Elephas maximus indicus: one gene and its partner. The protein of the gene in region 2 binds, or shares a complex with, the protein of the main gene of each other region. Links are inferred from orthologs where the notes say so. Each region holds a gene or a part of one and is shown on either strand. Other genes may lie near its edges.

Region 1 (7,617 bases), on a different chromosome or scaffold from region 2:
TGATTCTGGAGTATGGGGCTGCCATTCAGTTTGTCCAAGAGAATGGTGCTGCTGCCCAAAGCTGAGGGGGTGGGGCTGCCATGCCCAAGGGGTAAAAGAGCAGGGCCTGTTGGTGCCAAGGGTGTGGGTTCACCACTCAGGTAGAACTAGGAGAACGAGGCCACCAAAGCCAAGGGAGCAGGGTTGCCATTCCAGTGGGCCGAGGGGTCTCCACCTAGAATCCAAAGAGCGCAGCCAACACCCAGAGTCTGGACCGCTTTGCCCAGATGGTCCCAAGAACAGAGCATTATTTTCAAGCCTTGAGAGCTAATGTAAATTGTTCTGCTGGATTTTAGATTTGCTTGATACCTGTTATCCCTTCTTGCCCTCCAATTTCTCCCATTTAGAGTGGAAATGTCTACCTTGTGCTATTCCACCATTATGCTCTGGAAACAGATAACTTGTGGTCTAGATTTCACAGGTTCACAGATGAAGAGGAGTTTTGCGCCAGGATGGAATACACCTAAAGTCTCATCCATATTGGATTTAGATGATTTTAGAAGATGAGATTTGGGACTTAGAGTTGATTTAAGACTTTTGAGACGATGTGATGGGGTGAATGTGTTTTGCATGTGGGAAAGACACGAATTTTGGGGGACCAAAGGGTGGAATGCTATGGACTGAACTGTGCCCCCCCACCCTCCAAAATATGTGCTATAAATCCTAACCTCTATGCTTGTGGTTATAATTCCATTTGGCAATGGGTTGTCTTTGTTATGTTAATGAGACTGGGTGATATGTTTAAATCAATCTCTTTTAAGGTATACCAAGATTGAACAAGCAAGTGAAAGAAGCAGAGATGGGGGAAGAGAGAGGCCAAGCCACATGAAGACCACACAGGAGCAGAAGCTCAAAGAGACAAGGACTTTCCTCCAGAGCTGACAGAGACAAAGCCTTCCTATAGCGCCGGCATTTTGAATTCAGACTTCTAGCCTAGTAAACTGTGAGAAAATAAATGTTTGTTAAAGCCACCCATTTATGGTGTTTCTATTGTAGCAGCACTGGATAACTAAGTCACTAATGCTCAAAACCTTATGATCAGGGTTTAACTAGTTAACCTATGATGCTCAAAAATTCAATGAACTGGGTCTAAAGTGAAGAATTAGACGCCAAAGTTATACTGTATTTTATCATTTCATATCAAGAAAACCAAAACTTAAAAACTAATCTCCTGAACTATTCCAGTCTGTCCTCCTTTCATACCAATTAATTCATGGACTCCCCCTGCCCCCTGCACCCCATTTTCTCATTTAGACTTCCCATTCCTCCCCACTACAACTTACCTAGGTTAAAGAAAAAAAGTGTGGGGAAGGGACACTTGAAAATAGAGAAGTAAAGGTATGGCCAGCATTTGTTAGAGAAATATATTTTCCTTATGAAGTTCATGACTGTAGACAGAACCAGTTAACAGAGGGAAGCAGACCACATGGACGTGATTCACACTGGCGTTTACAGCTCTGACAAGACCGGTGCTTATGAAGCCTGTGACTTCATGGAGGGCTTCCTATGCCTTCTAAGAACAGGGCATCATGCCACGACTGTCACAAAGAACAGTAGTGGTCAAAGATAGACCAAATCCACTCTGGCCCCACCAAAGGCTTCTCATTGCTCTTGGGAGAAATACCAAAACCCTTCACCAAGCCCTGTCCCACCGAGGGCCCTGTTTCCCTCTGTGCTTCTTCCTCATCCCTCTCCTCCAGGATGCCAAACCACATTCTTCTATTGGAGTTCCATTCCCCTCAGGGCCTGGGCACAAGCTGTTCTGTGGTGCTGCCTTGCTAACCTTCCTCGACTCCCCGGTCTGGGCCAGCTTTCTTTTTCACACACTTCTAGATCATTACATTTCTTCAGAATGTTGTCTGGGTTTTTATTACTCATTCATTAGTGTCATAATTAACACCGTATTCCCCACTAGACCAAAGACCAGCTTTGCTGGGCTCCCTGCCACATGCACAGGGCCTAGCACCAAAGCACCTAGCTTCACCACAGAGTTTCCACACTCATTTGTGGAATGGGATGACAGTCACTGCAGAAGCCAAATGCCTGGAGAGATGGAGACAGGACTGGCTGGCTGGAGGCATATACTTTTGAACCTGAGCCTCTCTCTCTCCAAGGCTGCAAAAACTCCCAACCAAAGTCTTAATCTGAGAATACATACACCTGAAAGAGTGATTCCAAAAACCAAACCCACTGCCCTGAAGTCGATTCCGACTCATGGCGACCCTACAGGACGGAGGAGAACTACCCCATTGGGTTTCCAAGGAGCAGCTGGTGGATTCAAACTGCTGACCTTTGAGTTAGCAGCCACAGCCACCTGGGCTCCTAAAATGATTAGAGGCTGGTAAACACGTGCTCAACCCTTATACCAAGTAGAAGGATACGGTATTGTTTATTCCTACCACCCAGGGCTGTTAAAAACCAACACTGCCTGTGAACTGCGAAGGCTTTCATTTATTCAAATAAATATTTGCTGAGCACCTCAGCTCTCCACGCTGTAGGAGAAACAAAGATCAGGCAGGGTTTTGCGTCCAAGGTGCTTACGGTCTTAAAACGGAGACAAGACCGCTGCAAGCCAGAACGGGCTAAAAACCCCTAGGAGCTAGAAATAAGTGATCTGAGAGGCCACCTGCGGAAGGGATGCAATTCCAGCAGAAAAGAAGGAACTGAAAACCAGCAAAGGTCAAACACTGAAATGCAGGCGTGGCCCCGAGCCCTTCTGGCCCCTCGCTGGGACAAAACCGCAGGTGGAGCCGGGTCTCGGCCCGCCCGCCGGACTAAGCCAGGGCTGTCGGCCGGCCGAGGCCGGCGGGAGCCGAAGAGGCGGGGGGCGTGCGTGGCCCCGCCGCCCTCCCGGAGGCGCCCGCCCGAGACCCCGGACCCGCGGACCCGGCCGCCCGGGCCTCCTACCGTAGGTCTCGGACATGGCCGTCTGCGACATCTTGGAGCGGCGCCGCCTCTCCCCGGGTCACCGGCTGCAGCGCGGGCCGGCCGGCGGGCGAGGGGGGCCGGGGTCGCTCGCTGCGTCTCGGAGGCGCGGCGGTGGGGGCGGGGAGGGAGGGAGGGGCCGGCGGCTCCCACGGCAACCGCCCGCCACCCCGCGGCTGCGGCTCGGCCCGGACCGCCGGGCTCGCGCAGGCGCACACCGCCGCTCCCGGGGAGGGCCGCGGCCGGCCGCCAGAGCGCGCGTGCGCAGGCGGAGCTCGCGCGGGTGGGGGCGGCATCCGAGGGGCGGCGGGGCCTGCCGAGGGGCGGTCGCTGCAGCCGCGCGCACTGAGCAGCCGAAGGGCCCGGGGGAGGGGGAAAAGGGGTCCGGGTGCAAGCTGGCCAGCCTTGGGAGAGACTTCACCGTCGTCATTTGGGGCGCGCGGCCGGGAGAAGGCTCCCTTCACGCTGGGATTACAAACTCCAGAGCTTGGTTAATGTGCAGCTAGCAGGGACGGCGCAGGTGCACAGCCAGAGCGTACCTGTGGCTGCGGGCGTGAGTCAGCCCGGTGAGAGGGAAACAAGCTCACCTGCCGACAGGCCGAACTTTCAAACCCAGTCTTTTCAGCGAGGCTGAGCGGGTGTGGGGGACACGGACGCCAACGTGCACAGGTGCTGCAGAGCCCCGAAGGCTGCAGCCCGCCAGCTCTGCGCCCCACTGTTAGGGAATGCTCACAGTCAGCAGGAAGGGCCTCCCGACTCCCAGCTGGGGATGATGGGCTTCTGAGGTTAGGAGGATCCTTGGTTGGGCATTCCGGTATAAAGAGCAAAGCCGAATCCAGAATCCCGTTCTGTCTGGAAAAGGAATTTTGGTTGGGAGTTTGATGCACCGACTATGACCAGGGCCACACGTGTATCTCTTAGGGCCCAACCTTGTTTCGAAGACAGAGTAGAACGCTAAAATGTGCCTTGGCTAAGCATAGTTCAGGCTTCCCAAGTGGCCTGGACTGTGGCAACACTCCAGCACCGACATTTTCCCCGAAACCATTTGGCTCCATCCTCCACGTAAGCTGGCACCAGACCTTCCCTGAGGCCTCTTTCTCCCCCCTTCCCCCATGGCTACTTGGCTCTAGATTTCACTCTTCTCTCTAATCCTATAGCAAATAAATGCTCTTGTTTCTAAGTTACAGAGAAGGCCCCATATTTCAAGAGTCGTAATTTCCTAGAATTATTTTGTGTGTATTTGTTGCTCCATGGCTGATTTTTTATTGCTGTATTGTTTGGCTTTCTGCATTTAGGTTTGATTTAGATTCCCAAGTTTAACAGATTAAAACATTTCAGGGGAAAGATAGTGATCCAGGAAGTGGGAAAAAGACAGCCTCACCTGAAGATAGGTCTCCCATTCTTTAGGTCTAAGACTGGCAGGAGTTTTCTTCCTGCCAGGAGCTGCTGTGGGTGAGAAAGGCGTCACTGGATACCTGTAGCTTGTGTTATTGCCTGAAAAAGCTCTGAAACCTGGACAGGGTAATAGAAATAAAAATTAAGCTGTCATTGCAAAGCTGTGAGCAATTTTCTATTTTGTGGAAAATAAAGATTTAGGTCTTTGAGGAAAGCCTGTTTGTTCTGGAAAAACCACCCAAAGAGATTATTTAGTTTTGCAAGTGTAAAGCCAAAATCACAACTAGAAAAAAGAATATTAAGGAACTGTCTTGAAAGAACCAAATATCATTGAATACAAATGTAGAAAGGTACTTTGCATCTCAGTAACTGTGGGTCTTCGAAAGAAAACAAGTTTCTTTTAAATATTCTCAGGCTCCTTTGAATCTGAGGTACTGTTGATTGGAAGAAAAAATTATTGCAAAATTAATTTGTGTTTTTGCCAACTATTTTCTCCTTTCCTTCCAGGGGAGGTTTGTGGCAGAGTGAAGGCAGTTTTCCAAAAGCCTAGGCACATTGGAGATTCATCTAAAGGAAAAATGAAGAGAGAAAGATTTCTCCCAACTAAAAATAGATCCCATTCACTTTTCCTAGGTCAGTGGTTCCCTCAAGTAGCTGCTGTTTTTCTTCCTGCTCCCTGGCAATGTTCAAGAATGTGTCATGACTTCACATTAAATGACTAGGAGCCTCAGGGTGCTGCCAACCTCACAAGGATTCCTGTTCCCTAGGACTGGTAGAGAACAATATAGGTGAGGACAGGTAAGTGAAGTGACCAACGGGACAGATGAATGATGACTGAAGAGATTTTCTGGCATCCTTGGGAGAGGGTCAGATCTGGAACTGTGGCACAGCCCCTGGATCGGGAGCCCTAAAAAGGCTTCGGGATGAGAATCCAGCCTGGTTCTGAATTGCAAGGAGCAGCAGCATTGGGAACGAGGGGACATGTCATCCTTGGCAGAGCTAGGCTTGATGGAGGACACTGGCCACAGCTTTAGTGGCGTGGTGACTTTCTATGGTAATGGCATTGAAGAACATGAGGGGACTTCTTTCTGAGCAAGTGAGGACTAAGAAATACTAGGGTGTTACATTGAAATGAGCTAAATTCTGCACATGCAGAAGGGAGCTTGAAATGTGACCTCAGTTGGCCACCCAGGCTAGTAAAGCCTATGGCATATAATTCATGTCTTCAGGTTGGAAGAGACCTCAGAGGCCACCATGCTAGCTTGCTTTCCAGTGCCAAACAAAACCACCTCTGACTGGGCACCTCTGTTGTTAGAAATAGTTAAGAAATAGTTAGATGAGCTAAATTAGCTGCGGTAACAAAGCTCTCTCAAAATATCTGTGACTTAACAAAGTTGATCTCTCACTCAGATGACCTGCCCCATGCCAGTTGGCGGAGAGGCTGGGCTCATTGGAGGCACTTATCGACCCTGGCTGACTCAAGTTTCATCTAAATACATGCTTCTGTGATCACCGATGCAGAAAAATGAAATCGACAAATTGTGTGTTAGCTCTTAAAGATTCCATGAAGAATTTATATATATATATATCAGTCACTTCCATTTACATTCCATTGGCCAGAGCAAGTCACGTGGCTACACCTGTCTCAAAGAGGACAGGAAGTGTAGAATACAGGAAGTTTACCACAGGTTGCTTCTCTTCTCCCCCGACCCCCAGGCTTTGTGCTGTTGATGTTATACTTCTGCAGCCCCAAATACATTGTTATTGTTTTGACTTTATACAGTGAATACTCTTTTTATAGTTGTGGTAAATATATATGTAACAAAACATTTGCCATTTCACAATTTTTCTCATGTACAATTCAGTGACTTTAAGCGTATTCATCATGTCGTGCAGCCATTGCCATTCTCTGTTTGCAAATATTTCTATTTCCCTTAGCAGAAGCACAGTGTCCCCTAAGCAACAAGTCCACCCTTCCTCCTACCCACCCACTGTAATCACTAATAAACCTAGGTCTGTATATACTGTTGCCTATTCTAGATATTTTGTATAAGCAGGATTATACAATATTCTTTTGTGATTGACTTACATTGCTAAGCATGTTTTCAAGGGTCTTCTATCCACTTAATTTCATTTTCCTACCTGTTTGCTGATAGAAAAGTACCATAGAATTATCCTTCCTTTATGTTTCTATGTTTTCATTGTTGTTGTTGTTGTCAGGTGCTGTCAAGTCGATTCCGACTCATAGCAACCCTATGTACGACAGAACAAAACACTGCTGGGTCCTTCACCATTCTCGAGATCGTTGCTGTTTGAGCCCATTGTTGCAGCCACTATGTCAGTTCATCTTGTTGAGGGTCTTCCTCTTTTTTGCTGATCCTCTACTTTACCCAGCACGATATATTTCTCCAGGGACTCATCCCTCCTGATAACATGTCCTAAAGAGTGTGAGATCAAGTTTCACCATCCTTGCTTCCAAGGAGTATTTTGGCTGTACTTCTTCCAAGACAGATTTGTTCCTCCTTCTGACAGTCCATGGTATATTCGGTATTCTTTGCCAACACCATTATTCAAAGGCATCAATTCTTCAGTCTTCCTTATTCATCATCCAGCTTTCACGTGCATATGAAATGGTCTGTTTTTGGCTTGGCTTCTTGTTAAAAAGATGGTTTGCAAAACAAGTGTTTTTTCCTTTTGGATTTTCTCGCCAATCCCTACCAAATACATTGAGCCAGAATTTTCTTTTATGAGTGGTTTAAAAAAAAATTTTTTTAAATCAAGTTTTTTGAGGTATGATTTACATACAATAAAATAATCAATTTTAAGTGTTCGATTCAATGAGTTTTGACAAATGTACACAGTGTGTAACAACCACAAAAATCATGATACAGAAGTTTTCTATCTGTCCCCCAAAGTTCTCTAATGTCATTTTGCATGCCTAAGTTGGCTGATTTTTAGAATTTTGGACAGGGGATTATTGGCTCTTACGTGTGTCTTAGTCATCTTGTGCTTCTGTAACAGAAATACCACAAGTGGATGGCTTTAACAGAGAGAAATTTATTCTCTCACAGTCTAGGAGGCTAGAAGTCCAAATTCAGGGTGCCAGCTCCAGAGGAAGGCTTCCTCTCTCTGTCAGCTCTGGGGGAAGGTCCTTGTCATCAATCTTGCCCAGTCGAGGAGCTTCTCAGCACAGGAACTCCAGGTTCAAAGGGCGTGCTCTGCTCCTAGCATTTCTTGCTTGGTGATAATGAGGTCCCT
Region 2 (7,336 bases):
TAGTAAACACCAGATATGTGTTTGCTACTATTATACTAACTGATTTGATTATTATATTCTGGTAGCAACACGGAAGCTGATGAAAACCATCCCATGTGCCTCTTACTTTTAATTTGTCCTCTGACGTCACGATCTTCTCCTGAATGCTCTTCCTCGTAATGTGACTGAAGCTGATAGAAAGATTGCAGGTCCTTCAGGCACAGAGGGCAGAGGAAACCCTCCCTCACGTCCCCTGGGTCATCCAGGGAAGCCATGGCAGTGCCCTCTCAACCCCCACAAGGCACCAGCCTCATGCCAAAAGTCAGCTTGATTCCTCCACAAGGGGCCAGGGCTCCTGCGGCATTAGCTTAACGAAACAGCACACTGATGACGGGAAAGTGGCATCGCGGCCCTGGATGAGGTTTCCTCTCTGGAGTAGTAAGAGCCCTGAGAAAGGAAAGAAGAAGAGGGAAAAAACCCAATTCAGACAAATTAGCAGCAATTGAAAATCCTCTTTGTCTTTTCACAATTCAACAAAGGTTCTTAATGTTTGGTCACTGCAAGTTTAAGAAAGCAAACTACTTTTTCAAGTCCTTAGAACAAAAACACAAAGTCGTCTAAGATTTTGAGAATGTCACTGGACAACGGAAACTCACTGAAGCAGGAAGAAGAGAGTCTTGAGGACCAGAAAGGAAAATTCAACTTCAAAAGCAAACACAACACCAAGGCAATTCTTTTCACATTATTCCAAATGGTCCAACTTCATAATCTGATGCCACCGTGGCCGCTGAAGAAATTTCTGAAGTATTCATCACCAAGTAGTAGTTTTTATTTGACTCTCTTTACCTGGATCATTTATTCAACTGCATATATTGGGTTTTTGCTACCTGCAAAGCATCTGAGCCAGGAATGCAAAGACGAAAAAGACAGAGTGCCTGCCCTAAAAAACAAACAAAAAACCAGACCAAAACAAACCAAACACACACACACACAAAAAAAAAACCCATCTCAGTCAAAGCAGGAGCATTACAAAACCTAGTGTAATGAAAAGAACAATCTGTTTTGCGTTTTATATTTATAGAGCACTGTCTCACCAATGAGCTTACTAGATTTTATAAATCAGTTAGTGGCAGTTGAACAGCAGGCCCAATGTTCTCACTGCTTCAAAAACAAAAGGATTTCAGGACTTAATAAGTTACATTTTCTGGCTCATTGGGTCATGGCAAAGTCACTTCCAAGGTCGCCTAAGAAAGACTCCCAGCCATAGGAAGAATCCAGATAAAAACATTCCACGAAAGCAGAAATTTCTCCTCAGGGGAACTCTAGCCACACCTAGCTGTGACCCTCAGCTCTGGATGAACTTGTTCAGAGGGCCATTGAAGAGGGACTTTCTTGGCCCCAAACCTGAAGAGTGGCAGTGACCCAGAAACTAATCAACTGGAGACCCCAGGTCCCAGTTTTTTTCCTCTAGCTAAGAAATACTGGGGTTCAGTGGTAGAATTCTCACCTTCCATGCAGGAGGCCCAGATCTGATTCCCGGCTGATGTACCCCATGTGCAGCCACCACCCATCTGTCAGCGGAGCCTTGCATGTTATGATGCTAAATGGGTTTCAGGGGTGCTTCCAGACTAAGATGGACTGGGAGAAAAGGCCTGACCTGATTCCAAAAATAAGCCAATGAAAACCCAGTGGATCACAACAGTCCAGCCCACAGCTGATCATGGGGATGGCACAGGATCAGGCAGCAGTTCCTTCTGTTGTGCAAGTGGTTGCCATGAGTCAGGGGCCACCTCCATGGCAGCTAACAACAAACAACAACCAGCTTAACGACTACACACACGCAATTCCCAGCTCCTTTTCTAGATGGTCACGGAAACTGTAGCCCCAGGTCTGATCTGTTCTCTCTCCAGACAATGGTCCATCTGACATTCTGACTCTGAGAGCCCACTTCCTTCCCCTGCACTCACCCATAACCACCACAAATCAAATACTAACCACCACCGCCCCCACAGGCTCCCTCAGACTCACCCTTCACATCCCAGCCCAAACCCCACTTCCTCAAGGAAGCCTTCTCTGACTGGAGGCACACCCTCCATCTGATAGCACCTGTACTTCTTCACAACACTCATCTCAATTTATAATCACACGTACGTATGTAAAGTGACTAAATACACAAGACTGTAAGCTCTATGAGGGCAGAAACTACGTCTGTTTTCCCAACCATCATATCTCCAGGGTTTGGCACAGTGCCTGGCACACACATAGTCAAAACGCAGTAAGCCCGTGAATGAATGAAGGAACCCCAAAATCATATAGCCAAACACACACCACCTAACTGGACCCCACAACCATAACTGAATACATATGCAAGCTCCAAAACCCCAAATCGCACAAGAAATAAAAATAAAATCCACATATCCTACAACTACGCGTCCTACTTGAATGCTATCCTACCACATGCCTCACAGACTACACCTCCCGCAGCCGCGCTCACCACAGCCTCAAGACCGCATACAGCACTGGCCCACATAACACATCACGATTATGCACACGTCGTATAACCACAGACTGTTGGAAAAACCCAACCCCCATGGAGCACAGACATGACAACTCCACACGCCGCAGACACAACACAAACACTACAAACAACCCCACACAAACTCTGAGCACGAACGCTTCAACCTCACACAACCAGAGAACTGAACACAAGCATTCAGGAGACAGCCACCCGCTTCTCAGCCGCATAACCAAACACCAACCGTACGCTCCCCGCATAACCACACAGAGCCCAATCACTACAAGCACACACAAGCGAAACGCACAACCCAAAAGCCGCATCTCCCAGCACGTATGTCACACACACCGCACGCCCGCACGGCCGGCCTGTCTCGGTTGCCGAGTGGCGCCACGCCTCCGCCCTCCAGGCTCGACCTGGCTTCTGCAACCGGTCGGGGTTCCGCGGCCGCGCAGACCTGTCAGGTCCTCCCGCCGGGGCTGTGGGCCTTCACAGCCCCTTACACCATTGCAGCCGCCATCGCCATCCTCGGCTCGGTGCTCGGCAGGCGCGCCTGCGGAGGCGGTGCCAAAACCGGAAGGCAGGCTGGCAGACGCCCGTAGAGCGCCGAGTCTTCGAGGGCGTGAAGGGGCGGGAACGTACTCCACCCGCCCGAAGAGGACCGGCGGGCTATGTGTAGGTGCCTTAAGAACGGCGGGTAGCTCAGTGGTTAAAACCATCGACCCGAAATGTCGTTGGTTGGAAACCACCAGCGGCTCTCGCGGGAGAAAGACGTGGCAGTCAGCTTCATAGAGATTTACAGGCTTGGAAACCCTGTGGGGTCGCTATGAGTCAGAAGCCACTGGATGGTTTTTTGTGTTTGGATAATTCCTTTGTAAGGATCCTGGGTGGTGCAGTGGTTCAAGTGCTCGGCTGTTAATCGAAAGGTGGGCAGTTGGAACCCACCAGTGGCTCTGCAGGGTGGGGGAAGATGTGGCAGTCTGCTTTCTTTAAGATTACAGACTAGGAAACCCTATGAGGCAGTTCTCTGTCCTATAGGGTCGCTATGAGTCGAATTGACTTGACAGCAATGGATTGGGTTTTTTATAGTTCATTGTGCCAGTGAATGAGTCAGCAGAGGGGGTCTTTAACGCCTTCTACCCCCACTCCCAATTGCAGTTCTAAATTAATTCGAGAGTCAAAGTCCTTGAGAGCTAGAGTTGGAAGACTTGAGGAAAGCCGAGGATGTGGGAAAACTCGGAATAGAACCACATAAGTGTGTGCGCTTGGAATGAGAAGGCGTATCCAGTGGACGTACAATATGTTCAAATCTGTGACATTTCAAAAAACAGGATGGATTATTCAGCACTAACCACAAAGTATATAGAGACAAAACCTAATTCCAGTGCTGGTGAGACACTGGGCTTAGCAGTGGCCTGGGCTTCAGAAGCAAGAGCTGCAGAGCATGATGGCTTGGGCCTTGGAGTTCCAGATCCCTGGTCTTCCTTGACCCCTTTGATCCTTAGTATTACCATCTGTAAAATGGGGATAATAGTCTCCACCTCATAAGGTTTTTATGAGGATTAAATGAGGGGCGGTTGTTGTTGTTGTTAGCTACCACCGAGATGGCCCCCTACTCATGGCAATAGGTTGTGGAGCCATGCTTACAGGTGGGAATATCATTGCGGTCAGAGGATGAACCTTGTATTAAACCATCATGCGTTCGCCTGGCATTTTATCATCCACAAAAACCAGTATCACATTCACCCTTTGGTTTGCTCGAAAAAGCCATGGCAATGTGACCTGCAGCTTGTGAATTAATGCTAGAATCATGATGGCTCTGCCACTGATGTTCCAATTGTTTTTTCCTTCTAAATTTTAGTTAATTTTGTTGCTGTTGAGAATATACACAGCAAAACATACACCAATTCAACAGTTTCTACATGTACAATTTAATGACATTGATTGCGACCATTCTCACCCTCCTTTTCTAAGATGTTCCTACCTCATTAACCTAAACTCACTACCCTCTGAGGTTCCTATCTAATCTTTCAAGTTGCTGTTGTCAATTTGATCCCATAGAGATAATTCTTAAAAGAACATAATGCTCAAGACAGACCTTTTTTTACTAGTTATCTGAACTGTGTTTTGAAGATGACTCACTGATGTTCTATTGATATTTTCAAAAATGATGGTAACAAAGACCTTCCTGTGTGCTTCACAGTTTATAAAAAGCACTTCCACATTCAATACATTAGTTAATCCTTCCAACTACTCTTTTTCCCATTTCTAAAATAACAATAATAATGACTGACATTTACTGAGTGATTAGCACATGCCAGGCACTGTTCTGTGTGTTTTACATACCATTTAATTCTCATACAACCCTATGAGGTACAAATTAATATCCCTCCCATTTTTACAGATGAAGAATCTGAGGCCCAGAGAGGCTAGGTGATTTGCCAAAGGTCACACAGCTTGTAAATGTTGAACCCAGAGTCATCTTGCCTCGAGGCCTTCAAACCCCGCCCCTCCTTGGGGTCCAGACCTGAACACTGAAAATTCTTGCATCTCTCATCATTTCCCAGGCACCAACCATGTACCAAGCAAAGAGAGAGAGAGTGAGAGGAGGCAGGGCAGTCTCCCTGGAGGAGGCTCAGCCATCAGGGGGACACAGACACATTCAAAAAGAGTTTGCACATGTGTGCAGGAGCTCCGGCATCAGAGAAGAGGTTAATTATTCCCTCTGTGAAAATCCAGGGCAGGTTTCCAGGGAGGCAACATAGGAGCAGAACCCTCAGGTAGAGAGGGTTGGGAAAGGCCTTCCAGGAGGCGGGGTGGGGAGGGGCATACGCAAAGGCATGGTTGTGGGGAAGAACAGGAGTCCTTTGAAAACCTAGGAAAGTTTGTTCACACCTAGAATGATAATGTGAAGGCACTGGCTCTGGTTCCCAAAACCAGGGCTTCAAACCAGTTTAGTCATGGTCAATGAAGCAAAACTAGAACAGACTCAAAGTTTTAAACTTGGGTGATCTGGAATGATAATTGAAATGGGAAAAATTACAGGTTGAACTCCTGGAATGGGAGACTCAGAAGAGATGTAGTGAGCCCTTTCAGGAGCCTGATGCGTGAGATTGGATTACTGGCAGGAAGGCAGAGAGTGACACACATTCCAAGCTGTGAAGTCAACTGCCATCTTTGAGCAGGGCACCGCTGTTTCCGGCTCAGCTCAAAATCCAATGGGCAAGACAACTGATAGCTATGCAATGAGTATGCTGCCCCTGTTTCCTAAGGGGGAGATTAAGTTTCCAGCAGGGCTTTGACCTGTAATTCTCCCTGTTCCAGGTATCATTCCAGTTCACCCAAATTTTAAAAATTCAAGGGAAAGATTAGTCCAAAGGACTAATGGACCATAACTGCCACAGCCTGCACCAGACTGAGTCCAGCACAGCTAGATGGTGCCCAGCTACCACGACAGCCTTTCTGACAGGGATCACAATAGAGGGTCCTGGACAGATTGGGAGAAAAATGTGGAACAAAATTCTAACTCACAAAAAAAAAAAACTGAGTTACTGGCCTGACAGAGGCTGGAGAAACCCCGAGAGTATGGCCCCAGATGCCTTTTTAACTCAGTATCTAAGTCACTCCTGAGGTTCACCCTTCAGCCAAGGATTAGACAGGCCCATAAAACAAAACATACACCAGCCCAGGGGCAAGGACAAGGAGGCAGGAGGGGACAGGAAAGCTGGTAACGGGAAACCTAAGGTCGAGAAGGGGAGAGTGTTGACATGTCGTGGTGTTGGCAACGAATGTCGCAAAATGATATGTGTATTAATTGTTTAATAAGAAACTAATTTGCTTTGTAAACCTTCATCTAAAGTAGAATAAAAAAATTTTTTTTTTGTTTTTGATTCAGGTCTCTTCCTGTTTTGCTTCCTCGGCCATGACTGAACTGGTTGGAAGCCCTGCCCGAAACCACAGGCCACAGGGAGCTGACTCTAATGGCGGGATCACCGGCAGCTGGACCTCTTCACCTCCCCTTGTACCTTAGAGCTCTATGTCTCTCTCTGGTCCCTTATTGTCTATATATGTTTATCCTGAGTAGCACAAGGCACTTGGCATCCCATCAAAATCCCTGATAGGAAGGGAAATCATGATGTGGACATCAGGGGAAGGTGTGTGGCACATGACGTAATGCCCCAAAGGTCTCGCTCCCCCGTACTGGCCCAAGTTCCAGATCCCAGGCCTCTGCCAGCTGCTGCTGTGGCCCAGAGCAGACCACGGGGAGGCAGGGCCTTGTCTGAAGAATGGGTAGAGGGTGCCAGGCTAGGCTGTGAATAGGGGAGCAGGTGGTAGCTGCTTCTGCCAGGAAAGACACAGAGAAAGGAGGAAATAAGACATGGAGTAAGGAGGGAGGTAGCAAGGTATGGTGGATAGAAGCACAGACATTGGAGGCAGCCACCCTGGGTTTGGATCCCAGCTCTGCCACTTGTAGCTGTGTGGCTCCAAGCAGATCACTCAAATTCTCTGAGCTTCAGTTTCCCGTAAAATGCAATAATAATAGTCGCTGTTCCTAGGGTGGAGGATTAAATGAGTTGCTACTAGTCTCCTAAGGCTGTGGTAACAAAGTACCACAAAGTGGGTGGTTTTCAACAACAGAAACTTGTTGTCTCCTGGTTCTGGAGACCAGAAGTCCAAAATCAAGGTGTCAGCTGGGCCATTCTCTTCTGAAAGCTCTAGGGAAGAATCCTTCCTTGCTGCTTCTACCCTCTGGAGGTTGCCAGCAGTCCTTGGCATTTCCTGGTTTGTGGCAGCGTAACCCCAACCTCTGCCTCCATTTTCACATGCCTTTCTTCCCTGTGT

Evidence for each region. The genes of interacting proteins can lie anywhere in the genome.
Region 1: the proteins of RBSN (region 2) and RAB4A are in contact, whole or in part, in a crystal structure (PDB 1Z0K), measured with the Homo sapiens proteins. The link is inferred for Elephas maximus indicus from reciprocal best matches to the Homo sapiens genes RBSN and RAB4A. Residues at the interface, in NP_001289307.1 of Homo sapiens: Glu441, Gly442, Trp443, Leu444, Pro445, Ser447, Glu454, Pro458, Leu459, Gln461, Gln462, Asn465, Ile466, Phe469, Asp480, Glu481, Thr484, Leu485, Asn488, Leu492, Glu495, Gln499; in NP_004569.2 of Homo sapiens: Tyr10, Leu30, His31, Ile34, Glu35, Ile46, Gly47, Val48, Glu49, Phe50, Gly51, Ser52, Lys53, Lys63, Gln65, Trp67, Arg74, Phe75, Ser77, Val78, Ser81, Tyr82.

Annotation. Positions count from the first base shown.
Region 1 is NC_064821.1:209,902,767-209,910,383, reverse strand, and holds the start of RAB4A (ras-related protein Rab-4A), read right to left. Parts: upstream 3,064-7,617; 5' UTR 2,978-3,063; coding exon 2,947-2,977; coding exon of another isoform or gene 2,732-2,946; exon of another isoform or gene 2,590-2,731; intron 1-2,589. Other genes in the region: serine/arginine repetitive matrix protein 1-like, read left to right, coding at 2,732-2,947, 4,867-4,887. UniProt on the Homo sapiens protein: The small GTPases Rab are key regulators of intracellular membrane trafficking, from the formation of transport vesicles to their fusion with membranes.
Region 2 is NC_064838.1:38,698,227-38,705,562, reverse strand, and holds the start of RBSN (rabenosyn-5), read right to left. Parts: upstream 3,042-7,336; 5' UTR 2,952-3,041; exon of another isoform or gene 2,843-2,951; intron 427-2,842; 5' UTR 255-426; coding exon 107-254; intron 1-106. UniProt on the Homo sapiens protein: Rab4/Rab5 effector protein acting in early endocytic membrane fusion and membrane trafficking of recycling endosomes. Required for endosome fusion either homotypically or with clathrin coated vesicles.